4 linked regions of the Cricetulus griseus genome follow. The protein of the gene in region 1 interacts with the protein of each later gene in a pairwise test. Links are inferred from orthologs where the notes say so. Each region holds a gene or a part of one and is shown in the gene's direction. Other genes may lie near its edges.

What was found.
Region 2: the proteins of Nck2 (region 1) and Hoxc4 interact in binary tests that used the Homo sapiens proteins (3 or more experiments, as listed by UniProt). The two-hybrid records come from large-scale screens. The link is inferred for Cricetulus griseus from reciprocal best matches to the Homo sapiens genes NCK2 and HOXC4.
Region 3: the proteins of Nck2 (region 1) and Efs interact in a two-hybrid assay, tested with the Homo sapiens proteins (2 studies listed by BioGRID and IntAct). The two-hybrid records come from large-scale screens. The link is inferred for Cricetulus griseus from reciprocal best matches to the Homo sapiens genes NCK2 and EFS.
Region 4: the proteins of Nck2 (region 1) and Lrriq3 interact in binary tests that used the Homo sapiens proteins (3 or more experiments, as listed by UniProt). The two-hybrid records come from large-scale screens. The link is inferred for Cricetulus griseus from reciprocal best matches to the Homo sapiens genes NCK2 and LRRIQ3.

The regions. Positions count from the first base shown.
Region 1 is NW_023276807.1:5,069,222-5,073,934, reverse strand, and holds the start of Nck2 (cytoplasmic protein NCK2), read left to right. Parts: upstream 1-1,352; 5' UTR 1,353-1,488; exon of another isoform or gene 1,489-1,499; intron 1,500-2,257; exon of another isoform or gene 2,258-2,444; intron 2,445-4,713. UniProt on the Homo sapiens protein: Adapter protein which associates with tyrosine-phosphorylated growth factor receptors or their cellular substrates. Maintains low levels of EIF2S1 phosphorylation by promoting its dephosphorylation by PP1.
Region 2 is NC_048595.1:399,400,850-399,405,796, forward strand, and holds the start of Hoxc4 (homeobox protein Hox-C4), read left to right. Parts: upstream 1-1,650; 5' UTR 1,651-1,770; intron 1,771-2,206; exon of another isoform or gene 2,207-2,368; intron 2,369-4,947. UniProt on the Homo sapiens protein: Sequence-specific transcription factor which is part of a developmental regulatory system that provides cells with specific positional identities on the anterior-posterior axis.
Region 3 is NW_023276807.1:210,120,159-210,125,013, reverse strand, and holds the start of Efs (embryonal Fyn-associated substrate), read left to right. Parts: upstream 1-1,558; 5' UTR 1,559-2,527; coding exon 2,528-2,545; intron 2,546-3,046; exon of another isoform or gene 3,047-3,179; intron 3,180-4,855. UniProt on the Homo sapiens protein: Docking protein which plays a central coordinating role for tyrosine-kinase-based signaling related to cell adhesion. May serve as an activator of SRC and a downstream effector. Interacts with the SH3 domain of FYN and with CRK, SRC, and YES.
Region 4 is NW_023276806.1:4,341,049-4,345,808, reverse strand, and holds the start of Lrriq3 (leucine-rich repeat and IQ domain-containing protein 3), read left to right. Parts: upstream 1-1,463; 5' UTR 1,464-1,599; intron 1,600-1,952; exon of another isoform or gene 1,953-2,092; intron 2,093-4,760. Other genes in the region: Fpgt (fucose-1-phosphate guanylyltransferase), read right to left, coding at 1,283-1,463.

The DNA.
Region 1 (4,713 bases):
ATGAAAGACCTTTCATATTTCAGGGGCTTGGGGGGGGATGGCTTAGGGATAAAGCACTTGCCAGGTAAACATGAGGATCAGAGTTTGTGTTCCCAATATCCACGTGAATGCCAGGTGGATATGCAACCCTCAGGAAGTAGAGGCAGGGGATTCCCCCAGCAGTCTGGTTAGTTGCAGTAGCCAAATCAGAGAGCTATAGGTTCAAGTGAGAGTCATCAGGGAGAATACCAGACAAAAGCCATCTTGTCTCCATAAACACTAGCACACACATACATACAGAAAACATCCATCTCACAATGAAAACACCACACCCTTTTTGGGAATACTGTTGTCTGATGCTTGGAAGACAACTACTCACAGACAGAGACGGGCTGGCCAGAAAAGTAAGAATGGGAACGAAAGACCTTACAACAAGATGCTGGACTTCAGACAACAGCAAAAGTGTCACCTGTCTGCAGGAAAACTAGATGGGCTAGGGTTTGAGAAGGAGCTATTGAATTTAGATACAAGATGCCACTGGGGACCTGGGGACTTGCTGTAAAGAGACTCTCTCTCTCTCTCTCTCTCTCTCTCTCTCTCTCTCTCTCTATATATATATATATATATATATATATATATGCATTTGATTGGGGGCTTACTTATAATTTCAGAGACATAGTCCATTATCATTAAGGCAGGGAGCATGTCAGCAAGCAGGCAGGCATGCAGTGGAGAGACACACTGGGCCTGGCCTAGCTTTTGAAACCTCAAAGCCCACCCCCAGTGACACACCGCCACCCACAAGGACACACCTCCTAATCCAAATAGTTCACCAATTGGGGATTAACCATATGAGCCTATGGGAGCCATTCTTCTTCAAACCTCCCTAGGGATTTAATAGTAAGAGAAGCAGTCTGAGGCCACTATTCAAAGAAAAGGCTAAAAAAGCTGGGTCTGTATTGTCCTACCTTATTTAGAGTGAATGGATTTTAAATACGGTTAAACTATTGATTACCGTTCTGCTTTCCTTATTGTAAAGCTAGATATTAGCAGGATGAGGTCTGCACAAAAGAATGAAAGGAGATAGCATCTCCGACTGGAAGGGGATGTCGGATATGCTGATTTTGTACCTAATGCTTTTTGGTCGGGCTATGTGCCAGATACTTTACATGGGAAGCAGGCAAACATCTCACGTGATAAAGTTGAGAAAGGTTGTGAAAGACACGTGTAAGGTGACACAGTTCAGGAAGCCTACAATCGTGCTATGATTACAAAGCCAAGCTTCCTCAGGTTACCCATGGCTGGAAACTTCCTTTAGGGAGGGAGGCAGCTGACTGGCCACTTAGGGTGAATTGTTTCTGCCTTGATAAGGAGGAGCCAAGGGCCAGGGTAGAATCTCATTAACATAAATGCGAGCTACCCAACCAGAAACTGAATTCATTTGAATATTAAGGCTTCCTTTGGAGAACCATGAGAGAAGGAGCTTGGAGAAGAAACATCTGGATTCCGGTGTGTAAGGCGTATGTGTTCCTTCCTCTTGTTCTAGGGTTCTAGCTTTCTAAATTTGCTTACAGGTTAGCCACTACTCAAGGCTGGTTGAGCGAGGGCGCCTTCCCAGCCTTCTCCTGTGCTAAATGAGAAATCCCAGGCTCCATAGAGCTGGCCTGGGCGCCCGGGAGGCAGCGGAGGTCGGGTTTCCTCTCCTCCCCCTAGGAAGTGGTCCCGCCTGAGAGGATGGAGTAAAAAAAGTGTCTGGTTGGGAAAGTAAATAGATGCAAGGCAAATAAATAAAGAAAATGCCCACAAGCAATTACTGGGAGGAAGTGACATTTTTATGTAAGTCACTTTTCTGACGGACACCAGGCCAGCTTGGCCGAGAGTGCCGTGGGAATGCTTTCGGGGAGGGGGGGTGATGGGGTGGTCGCTGTAAGAATCCAAGGCACAGCGGGGGTGCGGAGACCACCCGGTGGGACTAGCGGGCTGGAAGTAGCACTGCATTCTTTCCTCGTTCCCCTGCCCGCCCCCCAACTCCGATCGAGAGCGGGTTGCTGCCTAAAGCCCGCAGGCGGCGCTTTTCCCGGGCCCGGCCGGGACTCCCAGGTGGGTCCCCCGCCCGGCGCGCGCCGAGCTGGGCCGGCCCCTGGGCGGCGTCACGACAGCCGGGGAGGAGCGCGGGCGGGCGGGGAGCGCGCGGAGGCGGGCGCTGCGCGGGAGGGTCGCCGCCGCGGATCGCAGGCCGGGGCGCGCGGCCGAGCGGGCGGCGGCGGCGGCGGCGGGGAGGGCTCGGCAACGGGCAGGGCTCGGGGCTCCCGGCCGGCGGGGTCCGCCCGGGCCGGCAGCGTCCGCCCGGCGGCGGGAGGAGGGAGCGGCGTAGACAAAGAGCGGCATTTGGGCGGGCGCAGCGCGGCCGCCGCCCCGGGACCCGCGCCTCTGCCCTCCGGCCTCGGCGTGCGGTGTATAGAGAGGTAAGGCGACGGGCGGGGGGCTGCAAACTTGGTTGGGTCGGTAGAGTTGGGAGAGAGGGGCCGGCGGGCAGGGGCCGCCCGGGAAGGAGCAGGGAGCGCGTCCCCCCTGCGCGCCCCGCTGGTGCCCTCGGCCCCGCCGCGGCCTGGGCGTCCCCGGGTACCCGCACCTCGGAAACACACCTTTCTGCGAGCCCTCGCCTTCCCCAGCCTTGGGCTGGCGTGGGGGTGGGGCGCCCTCCTCGGGCTGACACCGGGGACCAGGACCGAGAGCCCCCGGGAGCACAAGCAGCCCTGGCCTGCGGGCGGGCGGGCGTGGGACCGAGCCGTGGCCCGGTCGCCGGGCGCGCGTGCCTGGGAAGAATAGCCTGGGATCTAAGGGCCCCGGCGCTAGGAAGCTAGGGGCTGCGATGGCCGGGGAGAACTTACTGTATTTAGAACTATAAGTGATCCGGCACAAAGCTACTGTCACGTCTCATACAAGAGGTCCGTGCCTCGGTGCAGGGCGCTTTTATGCCAGGTTCCAGTCCGTGTGCCCTGCCCCTCATTCCCAAGGCTTAAACCTCCAGAGCCAAAGTTTCTCTCAGCCGCCTTGCCCCTTCGGTTTGTTCAGGGCGATTTAAGCAAGTGGTTTTTGCAAGAATTTGATGTGGGACTTTTAATGCCCCGACGGCACCTCCCTTTTGAGCACTGTTAGCTTGGCATTGTGTGGAGGGGTTTGATTTGCAAAACGCTGTAATTTATACACTGTAACGATTCTCCCGGAAGGTGTGCGCGGGACTCTGGGTGGTGGTTAATGGATAGCAGACGTGACTTACAGTAGTATTGTGAATAGCTTGGGGACACAGCTGGGCGCTAAATAGCGTGGGCCCTGCCACCCTAGCCTGTTCAGGTCGGCAGTTTGTCCCTTATTTACTTTTCCTTATTTTGCTAAGAGGTTTAAAGGCTAATCCTGCCAAGTTTGAGTCTGTGTCTGGGATGAACAGGTCCCAGTTTGGGTTGGAGGTGCCCAGGCCTGCTCCTTGGTTGACCCCAAATGAAACAGCCCATTGGCCAGTGGGCATGGCCTGGAGACTCCTTTGCTGCTCCTCACCCATTGCAGGCTTTTCTGCAGGGGTTTTGAGGAGGAATGAAAATAATTTTGCATGTGTTTCAAGCCTGGGTTTTGGGTATAGTTATCAACAGTGGTTTTCTAGTGTAAAGGTCACCACTTTATCAAAACATCGTGGGCACTCCCCTCCATTCACTTTCCAAGTGTTTATAGATACAGAGATTTAGAAACAGACATTCGTGTTTAATATAGCGAAGGCAGCCAGTGGACACAAGGAGAAAGTGCACTTCAGTTAGTTAAGGTTTTAGACCTTGGGGATTGTTCCTAAATGACCACAAGGGACAGTCCTACCTTAAACTTTCTCACATTCTAGTCGGTTAATGTAGTTTTGATGGAAGAAAGAAAGGTCCCAGTGGTCTGAGGCTAAAATTGAGAACTTTGTGCGGCCGTAAAACTTGGAGTTACAGCCCCACCACCTGCCTTGCTCTCAGCCTCTTAGATGTGCAGCGACTCCTGGGTGGGGAGTTGCTGAATGAGCCCTGGCTGCTTGAGAGTTGATCAGCCCACCTGTGGAGAGACTGGCCCCTTTAAAATGGGCAGAGCAGATACAAGGTGGTTTCCAGCTCCCCGTAGTCCGATTCCAGGCTCTCAGTTTTGCATTCCCTACATGCTCCTTCTTGAGTCTTCTTCCTCCCTGTTCTGTTTGACCCTGTCATAGCCCTGACCTCTGTCATGTACTTTGAGGGACTGAACATTCCCAACAAACAGCGGCTCCCAGGTGTTGGGGAAATGTGCTTTCATCCTTGTTAAATCTCCCGTCATCTTTCTTGCTGGAGCAGACTAGATGACCCCTTGAAAACACCCGGAGACTCACTGATTGCATAGTGACCCTGAGTTCTTTATTTGATCTCTTGAATTAGCTTAATCTGCTCTGGCAAGGCCAGGCTGGGTTGCTCTGTACGGCACACATGGTTCTCTTAACTGACTGGCTTGCAGTGTGCACTGGGGGCTGAAATGGCTTGTGGAAATGATTTTCTGATGTTCAGAATGAAGTTTAATGATGGAAGAATTCCAGATTGCTTGCCGCAAGTGCAGAGCAGGTTAGTGAGCAGTGTTAGTGAGGAAAACTAGGAAGCTAACTTTTCTTACAAATGAACTGGGAACTCTTGACAGCTCCCCCCAGAGACATAGGAAATTAGTTTTTCCATCCAAAGGGACTTC
Region 2 (4,947 bases), on another chromosome or scaffold:
ATCACTTGAATGTGATGTAAAGTAAATGTAAAACAAATGATTTTGTCGATTACCACCAAGATTAGCTCCAAATCTAGTCCAGCTTAGTTATGCGACTTGTGAAAACCCTCCATAGGGACCATAGCCTCCTTCTAGGCTGTAGCTGGGACCTAAGAGCCCAGCTCTAGCTTCCCAATTTCAGTACCACTCGAGAAGTGGCCCAGAAGAAATCCAGTGCAGTGCCTCTGCTCATAGGGGTGAGGGGCTTGTAGGCGCGCGCGCACGCGCGCGCGCGCACACACACACACACACACACACACACACACACACACACACACACACAATTTTTTAAACTTGGGAGGAAATGTGTTTAAGTCCTAAATATTTTTGTAGGTGCCCAAATGATGCCAGGTCACTGTACAACCCTAAGCTCCCCTCCCGCGTTGTTCTTGGTGCCCAGGGCCCAATTAAGCTGGCCGCCTGCTCGCGGCAGCCGCGCTCTTATCGGCGGGATTGATGCCTCCTCAGCTCCTGTATATCATTTCCAAGATTTTTTCTGTCCAACTCCTCGGCTGCTTTGGCTTCTGCGGCTTTGACTAATGATTGCTACAGATGCCAACGTCTCCAGAATCCTAATAGCCAAGCAGACGGACTCTTATTTACCAGGCGACGTTACTGTGCAGAAGGGATGGGAAGTGAGGAACTGCGGCTTCGTAGAGCAGGAGGGCAGGAAAAGGATTGTGACCAACCCGAGATTCGCTGAACTTCCACATGAGAGGCGTCCTGACCCCCTCCTCTCTGTGGAAAAATTACATAGCATCAAAAAAAAAAAAAAGACAAAAAACAAAACCTCCTGCTATTAGTGACTCATCAAAGAATGTACATGACTATGGGAGAGGAAGCAGAGAAGTGTTTATTAGTTGTAAATAAAGAGATTGAGCGGAAGCCCAGCAGTTTGGGGAGGTCGAAAATTTCTCCTTCCGGATGGGAAAAGGGAGCAAGAGGTCAGTCGGCCTCCTCCTCTGAAGAGGCAGGGTTCTTGACTCTAATCCTCCACTTCCATCCCGACCCTAACGCACTCCTCTCTAATTTAACACCCCTACCCCTTCCCCTTCCTTGCCTCACCTGCAGCGCCTGCAGTGGAAGAGGCTGGACCGCGGTCCTGGGGCTTGGGTGACTGAAACCACCCTGAAAGGACGCTTCCTGCTTCTGGGGCGGCCAAGTAGAGTGGCCTTCTGGCTGTGGGATAACAATAGGACCCCATCGCCTGATGCATGTTGGGGTCCGCAGCCGGGACCTCAGGGCCTACGGTCCCAAGGGCGCCTGGAGTCGTTTGTAGTCGGATTTGCTTCCCTGGGATGCTGTTCGCACGCCAGCGCTGAGCCCAGGTGTTCACTAGGCAAAGGGCTGCGAGTCCGAGCCGCATGCTGCTTCCTCCAGGATCAGCTCAGACTTTTTCACACTTTCTTGGGGGTAGATAGAAACACAAACCCAGAGCCGGGCTCTCAGGCCAGGCTCCAGGGAACAGCTCAAATGGGGAGGGTCGCGCAGCACAAAGTGACTCTCAGGCGGGAGGGCAGGATCACGTCTTCGCAGCCTCGGCGGGCGCGCCCAGGACGGTGTGGCCTGGCCATTTCCTTGGAGTGTAAAGCGAGGCGGGCCCAGGGACCCGGAAACGCGCCTGCCGCTGGCACATCTCGGGAGGACTCGGGAATACAAAAAGGGAGCCGAAAGATTTAAACACTCGGAGACAGAGTCGTCCCGAAGCAGCCCTAGAGAAAAATCAATCACGTAATTAAAACAGGGAGGGATGAGGCTTGGGCCGGGGAGCCAGGGTTCTGTGGTCTAGGTGCTGGGGGCCCGAAGTGGAGAGCAGGCGGGTATGACTGGCCTGCCGGCCCGGCGCGCCCCACCGCCGCGGGAAGTTCAGAGCTCCTTGCTGCTGGTCCCAGCTGGGTTAGGAAGAGCAGCCTCAGACCCCTCCCAGGCCGATCTGGCAACTGCCACAGCCCTTTCCCTGGCTTTCCTGTTTTTGTTTTTTTTTTTATGGGATTAAGTAGCAGTTGAGGCAGCTCCCTGATCCCAGTGGTACCACGGATATGCCTAGGCAAGTTTGACAGAGAACCGGGGGTGGCACGTAACTCCTTTGTGTTTAAGCTGAAGCAGGGAGGTAGTTTACGCATCCTCTCTGGCCTTGTTTCCCCCCAGCCCAGGATCCAAGGCATACCTTTAGGATGACTCCGGTGACAGACTGAGGCTTGGAAGGAGGCTTGAGGCCACAGGGTTTATTACAGGGGAGATTTTGGGCTGAGCAAACTGGGCCTCTTTGAGCAGGGTGAGAGAAGGAAAGGCACATAGAGGAGAGAATAAGGCGCCGAGGAGCTCCGTTCTGTATAAAGAAGATGCACGGTTATTAGGTTATTATTGAGGTTAATAATGGTAACGATCTGCTGTGGCTGGGTCAAGGACCCCAGAACTGTTCAGTGCAACCCCTTCTCATAGAGGATCTCTGGGGTGCCAGGCATTCCCCAACTTGGCAGTGGTTGAGAAGAATAAAACAAGCCTTCCCTATCTTTACTGTGACCTTCCTTCTTCCACTCCAGAGCCTCCAGGGAAAAAAAAAAAAAAAAAAAAAAGCAATCCTTATAGTCTTCACCCCTTCGTCCCTCCTGCCTTCTCCAGTCCTCTAGCCCTGGTGTCTTTAGTCTTTCCTGGAGGAGCAACTTTCTAGTTCTTTGAGCAATTACCCAACCAATTCCTCACAGTCCTGCTGTGACCTTAGAGGAGACACAGGATTCCCTTGCCCATCAAGAAATATTCCCTCTTAGTCTTTGCATGTCTTCTTGTCTTGGTCCTGGGTGCCTAATCTCGCATATGGCCGGAAGCTCTGAGGCCAGGAACACATCACAGCACCTTGAAATACCCTATCAATGCCTCAAAAGAGTTTCCAATTTCCTCAACTGTGGGAGTCACGGAGCCCTCTCTAAACTATGGCCAGCCTAGTCTCTAGATCTTTTCAAGACATATTTAGTCTCCTTTGAAAGTTCCCTTAACAAAAAAGTTCAGGTTTCAAACCTCCAACAAAGCAAGCTTCCAACATCCGTAAGTTTACAACAATATTCATAAGTAAGGTTTGCATCAGAGAGAAAGGGATACCTCAACACAAGTCTTAATGGGAGATATAATCCAGCAGCTTTGAATGGGAGAGGGGGTCACCAAAGCTGGAATGAACAGAGGGTGGGGGAAACCCAAGCTCTAACTAACAATTTCTCCAGCATAAAAATGAAGCATCAAATTCGTTAGCCCAGGGCCTTCATTTTTCCCCTTCCACATTATAACTAGTTATTGAACTCGCTGGAAGATCTAAAGGCCATTTGCGAAGAGACAAATTTCAATGGAGTTTCCCCATCAATAACCCCATGGCAGTGACCTATTGGAACAAGTCAAACACCCGAGGTGAAATGCAGGTCACTCTGTCTAACCAATATTAAAATGCAGCCACTTTTTAAAAAGCCACTTTAAACGAGATTTGAGGAAAATTGAATTCCAAGGAAGGCAAGGCGGGGGAGATTCACAAGAGGACCGAGCCTATGGTCTCCAAACAAACAAGAGAAATTCATCTTTAATATTTTAAAGGGGGGCAAATTAACATTCCATGATTGCCTTTTCCTTTTCTTTCCTCTCTCTCTTTTTATACTATAAGCGATTCCAGGAGGGGGAAAAAGGTTGAGTATTTTCTAGTGACATGTCCAGGTTATTAAGATCATTTTAGACCAATTCATTACTTTTACTGACAAGAGATTTAAGGGAAAAATCAATTAAGCATTTGCATATTCTTTTTCATGCATTAGTCCTGCCTGCTGGCTTTAGGAAAGGACAAAAATATACACGTACCTATGTACACACACACACACACACACACACACACACACACACACGGATGCATAAGGGGAGAAATAGTATAAGAATCTTGTTTTAGTTTGGGATTTTCCAGTTGCCCGGGGGAGAAAAAAATCAAAATGAAATGAATTGCCTGATTGCATACCATCTAAAACTCAATTTATTTGAGGAAAAGGAAAGAAGCATGTTGTAATTTTTAATCCCTAAAACAACAAAGCACATACATTAAAAAAAAAAAACCTGTACTTCAGAGAGTGGGAAAGAGTGAGCCTTATTTTCTTTCTTTTTACAGTTAAATCCTGAATTGTTTCACCCATTAATTTAATTAATTAATTAATTTTGCCCCTTGGAAAATCCAGAGAGTATGAGGTGGAATTTTTACTGCAGCCCAGAATCTGTGGAACCACTAGGGCACCTCACGCAGCATCTTGTTACTGGGGAGGGGAGGAATATGGGTTAGCCAACGGTCAGTATGGTAATCCAGGCACAATAAGGCCTCTCACAACAATGGACACATATTTTTCTTCAGTGGTGTCAGAAGGGAAGCGCTTTGTACTGAAACATGTTTCCGAAAGAGAAACCAGATCGAGAGTTAGAAAGGAGGTGGGGTGTGGGGCAGCATGCAGGGAGCATTTGGATGCTGGTAAAAGGTAGTCAGAAAACATAAAGAATAAAACTGGGACCAAGCAAAGTAGAAAGTAGAGAGCCTTCAGTAGGTGGGAGGCAAGACCAAATACAAAGACTCATCACTGGGGAGGACCTCTTTAGTACCCCCTCCTACACCAGTTAAGCCCCTGCTAAGTGCAAGAGCCCTCTACAGAAAAAGATTGCCTGTTTGTAACAATGTTCAGGTAGACATGTTGTATGAGTATGTGTGCTGAGGTATTTAACTCATGTGATAGTCAACTTCTTTTCCTAAGCTACTGTAGCACCCAGAGAGTTTCTGTTTGTTGTTTGGTTTTATTTATTATTTTTATAAGTGATGTGGGTGAGAGTGGATATATTTAGGGGGATTTCATAGATTTTAGTTTCTGGCTATTCATACTGAATTATCTGAGCAAACCTGGT
Region 3 (4,855 bases), about 210 Mb from region 1:
TAGAACTCTCACTTCAGATGTATTTAGACACTTTAAAGTGTCTTGTTTTGTTTGGGGGGCGGTTTTGAGACAGAGTTTCTCTATGTAGCTTTGGAGTCTATCCTGGCACTTGCTCTGGAAACCAGGCTGCCCTGGAACTCACAGAGATCCGCCTGCCTCTGCCTCCCGAATGCTGGGATTAAAGGCGTGAGCCACCAACGCCAGGCTAAAGTTCCTTTTCTTGTAATGGAGTCTGAGTATGTCAAGGTTTCCAGCCAGTGCATGAGGTCTGCACTCCAGCCCTACAGCGGAGCCCAGAGCCATTACCATTCTTCCTGGGTTCGTCCAGAAACTCTCACTGAGTCATCCTCTAAGTAGCCAACTCTTCTCCACTCTGCAGAGGGTTCCAGGGGGTGAGGAGGGGAAGGATGTGGAGCAAACACTCTCCCCACAGGTGATTCTGGGAAATGCCCGTAGGTAAGCCTATGGAGCACTGTGATGTGATGGAGGAAGAGTGGTCTCAAAGCCACTAGTTCACAGAGGTCTTTAAATAAGATTTCAGATGTTCTCTCCTAAAGAGGTTACGACTAAGCTCGCTGTCTGGTGTGTGCTTTAAGCGTTCGTTTGCTAAACGTAAACACTGGAAACACACTACAGCTTTCCACCTGTTATCAGCTTGCTTTCCAAATACCGGGAACGCCTCCCTCCCCCAGTGGAAGAAGACCGGTCTCTCTCAACCCTCTCAGAAGCTCTAATGTGTATCTCCTCAAAGTAAGGGCCAGTGAAGAAGAGCGGTGACTGGGGGGGAAGGCCGGCAGGAGGGGTTTAGAAGGCCAAGAGCTCGAGTTCAGTGAAACTCCCGATTCCAGGCCCTCTGAAAGAGTTCTGCCCTCTTCTGCCCACGGTCTCCACCCCAACTGCTCCAGGAGCAGCGAGAGCCAACCTGAAGAAGAGAAAACAGGCCCAGACTGGCAAACGAGGCTAAAAATGCAGCGCAACCGGCCAGCCTGCGATCTGGGGCTCAGGATTCACGTCCTCTCTCAAGGGCCAGGATCTTTGTTCAACACCAGACTCCAAGTCAGTGCCCGGCTGGACCTCCCCGGATCGCTCCCGCCGCCCCCTGCAAAGTCAGCGCGGTGAAAACGCCTGGACCCCGGAGGCGCGGCGGAAGCCAGCGCGTTCCCTCCCTCGGGAAAGACAGATGTGGGGCTAATGAAAGGGAGAGAGGGAGAGGCGTGGGGCTGGCGGGGGAGAGCGGGGGCGTGGCGGGCAGAGCCGAGCTCCCCCGAGCGCGCAGTGCAGACCACCCGCCGGTCGGCCGCGCTGGTCCGGAGGAAGAAGGTGCGGGGAAGAGGGCCGGGCTGGGGCGTGCAGTTTGTGGCCCGAGGGTCGGGAGCTGAAACTCAACACCGCCTCGGAAAGGATCGTCCCCTTTCTCCGCAGCTTCCCCTCCCCCCTTCCCCCTCTTCTCTTAATCCCCTGGACTGAACCCCTCGCGAGAGGAGTGGGCCCGAGGGGAGGAGAGAGAGAGCTTGCTGAGGGGGAGCGGGAGCCCGGGCAGGGGAGGGAAAGGGTGAGCGGTGCCACGCGCGACCCCGGACCTCTTCCAGCCCTCAGTGTCCGCACCCCGGCCCCAGGCGAGCCCACAGGATTGCTCCTCCCCTTCACTGCTCCCTTTGCTCTGTGGCCTTTTTCTTCGTTCCCCAAGACACCAGGAGCTTCCCTAAGCTTTGGGGGCGCGCCGGGGGCCGGGTTCGGGGAGCGTGAGCCAGGACCGGGCGCCCACGGGCGCCGAGACCGAGAGTGCCGGACGGCCACCTCGGAAACCCGGCAGTGCTGAGAAGGAGTGTGGCCGGGAGAGCCCGGCTGGGCGCCACGCGCTCTGAGGCCTTGGGCGCCGGCCTGCCTTTGCGCTGGCTGACTTGAGCGACTTTAGAGACACGCAGTTCAGTTCTCGCTTTTCCTCCTCCTCCTTCCCCGCGGGTCGTCCCGCCGCAGTGCCCCGGCTGCCGCGACCACAGCCCTGGGAGCACCGCTCTGCGCCGCTGGGGGAGGGTTGGCCCCAGGAGTCGTTCATCCAGCCCAACCACTCGGGCAGCTTCTCCCAGCCCTCGGGGCTAGCCTGAGCTGCCTGGAGAGGCGTCGAAAGCAGCAGCAGCTCCTGCCTCCTCGCCTCGCTGGCCGGGGACGTGAGCTTTGGGCCCATGTGTGTCCAGGAGGCCTCTGCAGTCTAAGGCCACAGCCGTGGGGGCCTAGTGGCCCCCGAGAGACCCTGGGGACAGTTTAGAGCGCGCCCTTTGGATGAGGTCCCGCAGCGACGCCCAGGCCCGCCCCACTCCTCCTCCTGTCTGGCCAAGCTGCCTCCCATTTGGAAAGTTTTGTGGGTTTTCTTTCTCTTCCTCCAACTTTGGGGGAGGCAACTCCTCAAGAGCCACAGCTTGGGGTGACCTTCTGGCTTGGAGGCCGGGAACCATGGTGAGGGGCAGCCATCGCTGAAGTCAGCGAAACTGAGCCTGGTCTGAAGCAGGCGACGCTGGAGTCTAGAGCCATGGCCATTGCCACGTCGGTGAGTCCACCAAAGAGAGGAGGCTTGCCAGGCAGAGACCTCCAACCTGCTCTACCCATTCTCTCTTCTCCCAGGAGCTGTGTCCTCTCTTTTGTTTCCTTTCTCCCTCTCCCTTTGCCTTCTGGGCCTCAGTTGGCCCCTCCTCCCCCTCCCTATTCTCTTTCTTTATAGTGACTGTGGATAGATGGAGGGGGTGGGGGTGTAAACCCAGTCCTATCTGCTCTTTTCTGGGTGGGAACAGATGGACATTGGTGGTTGGCAGGGGCTATGATTGGGAGGTAAGTAAAAGGAGTTTTCTGGCAAAGACCATGCAGCCCACGGAAAATGGACGGCCAAGGAAGCCCAACTCTAGAGTGTTGGATAAAACCGAGCCTATGAACAGGCCGGGGAAAATAATATAGAGGAGGGGAGATGGTATCAGCTTGCCTGGGGCCAGTTTCTGGTAACTGGGGACAAAGAGAAGGGACAGTTAGCATGTTGGGATTGAGGGAGGAGGCCTACCAGAAAATGCAGTGGCACACTGCCATCCGAATAAGTCAGCCATTCCCTCACAAGTCAGCTAGGCCCCAAGGAGGAGATAGAGTAGGGGTGATCACACCCATTATCCATCATTCTCTCAACAGCTCTGGCCTGGGTTTAGGCAAACTGCAAAGCATGGGCCCCATTGGCTAGAATTCAAACCTAATACAGGGAGGAGCCATACAGCCCCACCTCTGCTCTGCTTTGGAGTCAGTATAACAAACCCATTCCTCCTCACACTTGGGCAGCCCTGCAGGAAGGCCAGCCACCACCTGCTTTCCTGCACTCTGGCTGTGGGGAGAGGAACTAGGAAAGTAAAAGAAAAGCATGGCGCGGCAGGGCACCCTCCCATTCCCCTCGAGGATGGCTCCAATTTTCATTCCTTAGACAAAACCCTTTGGTCCTCCGGTGGCAGGGTGCCTTTGGGAGTGCCAGAGCTGCTGTCAGGATCCTGGAGTTACAGTCACCTTTGAAGTCCAGAAGGTTTATGGGGGAGAGGTATTTATGCTAATGAAACTCACAGGCTCATAACAATAGTAATATTTACAATTTGCTTTACACACCTGGCCCTGTGCTAAACTTTGCCATGATCTTTTGATACATTGTCTCATGAAGCTCTCAACTTTATGAGGACATGTTATCATCCAAAAATAGGTATTTGGCTATAGACAGAAATTCAACACAGGAGGAAAACTACAGTACAGTGATGTTAAAACCACTTTGAGGCATCCAAGCAAGCAAGGGACTCAACCCCAAGTCCACCTGCACTTAGAACTTTGCCTTTAATCTCTGGCTAGGTCCAGAATACTAATTTCTAGTTTTCAATTAGGAGAGGTGTAGGGGACGTGGCTCAGTTGGTAAAGTGATTTCTGCATGAACTAAGGACCTGAGCTTGATCCCTAGCACCCACAGAAAAAGCCATGTGCTGGAGTGCCTGCCTGTAATCCCAGCACTGGGGAGGCAGAGGTAAGAGGATCCCAGAGACTTGTCGACCAGCTAGTCTAGCCAAATTTGTGAGCCCTGAAGGAAGACTCTTAAAATAAATAAAGTGGAGCGTGATTAAGGAAGATACTCACCATTAATCTCTGGCCTCCACATTCATGAGCGCACACATGGAAGGGATGGAGAGCACAGAGCCAACCAGCAATCTGTGTTATCTGTTTAGTGTGTTTCTTTTTGTAGACTAGATCTCTTAGAAGCTGCAGTATAATCAGAAATAGTGTGGTGAGGACCAGGCATGTAGCTTAGTGATGGAGCATTTGCTTGACATGCAAAAGGACATGAATTTGACCCCAGCACCTTGAGGAAGGAAGAAAGGATAGGTGGTTGTTTGGGAGCAAAAGAAAAGAGTGAAAGGGCTGGATGACTTGCCTTCTAGCACAAAACGGGATGCAGAGGACCAGCATGCCTGTGAGTGAGCTGAGCATCCTTCTTCCCCTGCTGCAGATGGAGATTTATGTGTTTGCTTGATGATAATGACGTTTTTAATAGTATTAGAGATTGAACCCAAAGCCTCAAACATTCTAGGGAAGTGTTCTGTCGCTGAGCTACATGTTCACATACTCAGTAGGTTTTTTGTTTGAGTTTTTTGTTCGTTTGTTTTGTTTTGAGGCAAAGCATTATTTAGCTCAGGCTGGCCTTAAACCCCTGATCCTCCTACCTCCACTTCCCAGGTGCAGGGATACCTGGTGTGTGCCACCACAACCCCAGACGCTAAATATAACTCCAAGACTTTATGTATGCTAAGGGAATTGCTCCACCAACTGAGTTACATTCCCAGTCCCCAGCCTT
Region 4 (4,760 bases), on another chromosome or scaffold:
CAGAGCCCTATGCATGTCAGGAGAGCAAGTGCCCCACCACTGAGCTATAGTCCCTGTCCTCTCTATTTTTTTTAGAGTACCTTCCTAGCTGACAGGCTAGCCCAGGACTGTTCCTGTAACCCAGGCAGGGCTTGAACCTTGACTCTGCTGCCTCGGCTTCCCAAGTAGATGGCAGTACAATCTGTAGCACCAGGCTCAGTTCTTAATATTTTTATTGACGTATGAGGACCCAACTAAACTTACATAGGCCAACGGATACCACACAAAACTTAGGATCAAATTCCCCAATAAACTCACTAAATGACATATTTCGCTGGCAAACAGTGGGTCCCTTTCCTTTACCAACAAAAATATTAATAGGGTTTTAAAAAAGGGGCTATAGCTGGCCTGAGCATGACAATCATGGTCCTGGCAGGCCCTTTGCCTCTTCCTTGCTAAAAATCATTAGATTACATTCCCAAAGCTGGCCACCAGGGTATGTCTACTCCCTCATTTGGCCAGTGCATCTCCCTGAGGCTATCAAAAGCTGCAATCAAAAGTCCCTTTTTGGCTAACCTAATTAACATAAAAAACCCTCATTCTAATACTGAGTTTCCTCATTTTCCTTTATAAACTGCCACTGGCCTATGGGCCCGGTCTGTTTCCTCTCTGTTCTAGGAGGGACAGTCCTTAGTCTCTTCAGGACAAATATCCCTTCGCAATCTCCCTCGTTCCTCTTCCTTGTCTTCCCCTTTGCCTTTTATTCCCTGCCCTCTGTCCCTCTGGGACAAAGAAATCTCCTTTGTGCTCAGAACTTGTGTCTTGGGGTGTCCTGAGCAGACACCAGTTCAAAGAGAAGGAGGGGAGGGAGGAGAGGAGGAGAGAGAGGGGAGGGGAAGGAGTTAGCCGTCACCTAGGATTTAATAATTCCCCACACTTTCTGATTTACCAATACAAATTCCCACATTGCAGACAGTCACAGACACCAGCTTCGTCAGGCACCCGTCTGGTTTTCCCTTTAGAGGGCAAACTTAAATTGGAGGCACTCTGAAGTCCTAGCTGCCTTCCCGCTGAGTTGAAAGGGGGACAAGCTGGAGAGTTTCGCAGGGTCAGGGGGCAACGGTTAATAACCCCCTTGCTGCTCCCCTGCTGACACCAAGCTGGAGCGAGCCCAGAGCAGCGAGCGTTGGGGCGCACGGGGCGGACCGGAAGCGGCGGCGGGCGAGGGGTCCGCGGGCAAGAGATGCCCTCCGGGCGGGCACGGGGTGGGTGGGGGTGAGGAACTCAGTTCCGCCCAGGGTACCTCTCATCTCGGAAAAGCGCCGCAGCTTCCGCAGGCTCGCTTCGCGCAGAGACGCCATGGTCCCCGCTTCCGGGAGCCCGCGCCACGCCCCCGTCCCCGCCCTCTGCCGCGCGGTTACGTCACCGCGGCCAGCGCCCGTGCGCATGCGCGTCTCTCGGGGTAACGTTCTGCGCTCGCACATGAGCCGCTCTCCCTCGGGGTGCGGGGCTTGGAGGGGCCTGCGCCGTGGGCTTCCGCCTCTCCACGCCTGACAGCCCGCGGCGCGCCCGAGGGGAGCCGCCCGTAGACCACGGTGGAACCATCATCCGGATGCCCAGGTGACCCCGCTCGCCCAGAGCTCGCACAGAGTTCCCCTTCCCGTCACCACGAGGCCGGGCCACACCCTGTCCGGCCCGGGTGGGATGCTGGATGGAGGAGCAGACCACGCTGCCGCCGTCACTCCGCCGACCTCGAAGTCAGGGTCTTGAACCTGTGTCAGCATCAGGGCTCGCAGTTGTGTCCCCTGGCTTCTCAGAGAGATGCCACCACAGGTGTAGATGAGGGCAGGAAGTCAGCCTGGCCGAACATGGTCCCGTTGGCTGATCATATGTCTTTCTCTCCTAGGGATCCTGGTTTGCAAACAGTTCTGCAGAGAGTGGTCTCTCCATTCTTACACATAGCATAGAGAAAATGACATTTAAGGAAGACGTTTCCATCGCAAACCCGGAAATCCTGTCATCCCCTACAACTTGGCTTCAGAAGTCTCTCTGCATGAAAACCTTGCTCAGAATTCTGCAAAGCAATTTCCTATGAACTTAGCTAAGATTCTAAGTAAGCTTAGCTTCTTTTTTTTTAATTTAATAACCTGACCTTAGCATTTAATGCTATGAGGAGGCACCATGACCATGGCAACTCTTATAAAGGAAACACTTAATTGGAGCTGGCTTATAGTTCCGAGATTTAGTCCATAGTCCTCGTGGCAGGAAGGCCAGTGGCACACAAGAACACATGGTGCTGGAGAAGGAGCCCATTCAACCATCTTGATCCACAAGTAGCAGGAAGAGACTGCCCCACAGGGCTGCCTAGAGCTTCTGAGTCCTTAAAGCCCACCCTCAGTAGCACACTCCAAGGCCACACCTCCTAATAGTGCCACTCCCTATGAGCCTATGGGGGCCATTTCTTTCTATCCATTACAGTAAGGCAATTTAAAGATAACATACAGGAGGACTTCATGCCTGCCTTCCCTGTCCATGCTGGGATTTGCTCCATGTGGAGCTTGTGCAGTTGTTGTCACATCTGCTGTGAGTTCACAAGTGCAGCTGTCCTGGTGTACCTAGAGCTTACCCTCTTCAGACTTCCCTTCCACTATAATCGCTGAGCCTTGGGAGGAAATGGTGTAGCATAGATTATCAATAGAGAAAGCCGAGCATTGTACATTTTTAATTCTCTACACATTGACCAGTTGAGACTCTTTGCGGTGAGTCTAGTGATGTATCTCTAGGAGTTAGTTTAATGCTGTGTCTGTTTAGCTGATTATAGGCTCTCAAGCAAAGCCTTATGACCTGTCTGGCACAGGTTCTTGGTGTCAGGTATGGGCTCTCTCTTAAGGAGGGTGACTTACATCCTGAAATTCAAATCAGAAAGCTGTTGAATACCCCCTGCGAAATTCTTTCCTCCATTGCACCGGGAGGTGTATTTTCCAGCTCAGTTATTATAACTTGTAAAAATCCTACCCCTGGCTGAGAAGCTATGGACAATTTGTAGGTGCTGGGAGAGGGATTGTCAATTTTCTTTAAGACTGTGACCTTTAAGAGGTTCACCATGTTCAGTGGATGACCTCACACATAATGAACTTCAACAAAAAAAGGGAGATAAATCTGTTTGAATAAATACACTGCTGAAAGTAAGTTTCAAAAGAAAAGATGGAACAATCAGTATGATAAATAATTTGAAATAACAGCTTTATATACACAGTGATGTAGTTCTATAAAATTACAAACATCTATGTGTATTATTTGTTTACTAATGCAGTGAATCATATAGTCACTTTCAATTGGATAGAGAGAATCTTGATACTGTATGTGGATGGATGCTGTTTGTAAACTCTTGACCGATGGCTAGGGCTTCTTATTGGCTAGCTCTGTCTTAATTATTAACCCATTTCTATAAATCTATGTATTTCCATGTGGTATTGGCGTACTGGAGAATGTTTGGACCTGCTTTTCCTTTGGTGGCTACGTGGCATCCCTGCTTTTTCCAGAATCTCCTAGTCTCCTAGTCCCCCTATCTTCCTGCCCCTATTGGCCAGTGTTTTGTTCATCAACCAATAAGAGAAACATATATACAAAAGGAAATCCCCCATCACCCATATATTTGAATACTTGGTCCCAAGATGGTGGAACTTTTTGGGAAAATTAGGAGATGTGACCTTTTTGGAAGATGTGTGTCACTTGTGACAGGTTTTCATACACCATTCCCAGTGTGCCTTCTCTGTCTCCTTCTTGAAGATCAAGAGGGAAGCCCTCAGCCATACATTTCTCACCATCATGAACTCTAACCCTGAAGATATAAGTCCAGTTAAACACTTACAGGAGTAATAGGCCAACACAAAATGGATTCCATGATTTTTTTGTTGTTTATTTGTTTTGTGTATTCATATGTGCTTTTCTTTGGTGTTTTTTTTTTTGTGTGTGTGTGTGTGTGTGTGTGTGTGTGTGTGTGTGTGTGTGTGTGTTTAAGAGACAAGATGAAGTTAGAGAAGGTGGTTGGGGAAGAGTTGGGGGATGGGAAAGAATATTGTAACGATTAGTCTTTACTCCATCTGCCCAAGCCCAGTTGCCACTACATGGGCACTTTTCCACCAGCCACCCGAGTTCCGCTCAAGTTATGCCCACCATGTTAGGGCCCCAAATAATACACAGAGAATTATATTAGGTACAAATGCTGCTTGGCCAAAGACTAGGATTTCTCATTTGCTAGCTCAGTCTTATTTATCAACCATAATCATAAGACTTATCTTATGGAGGACGCCTCGCACTGGCCTCCTCTTGCCAGGATCACATGGTGGCTCTGTAGAGAAGAGAGCAGAGAGCAGGAGAGGAAGAGCAAGAGGATAGCTTCCTTCTTGTCCCTGCTTATATATGAGTCTGCCTGCTATGTCACTTTCTGCCTGTATCATAAGACTTCTTTTTAATACATTTCCTGGAATCATCCTTGACTCCTAATCCTGCCGAACTTGCTTCTTCATTGGCCAACAGTACTTTATTCAACAACCAATAAGATAAAAATACACAGAAGGACTTGCCCCATCAGAATATGATGAAGGAATACTGTGAGAATGTATTTAAAAATAAAAATTCACATCATCATAATAAAAATAAACACCATTTATTATATGACTCTCACTTCATAACTCTTTGTGGAACAGTTATTGACTCTGAGTGAAAAGTATCCTTATTTCTACTTTGAAACATCATGCTGGTCTGCCATCTACATGGTG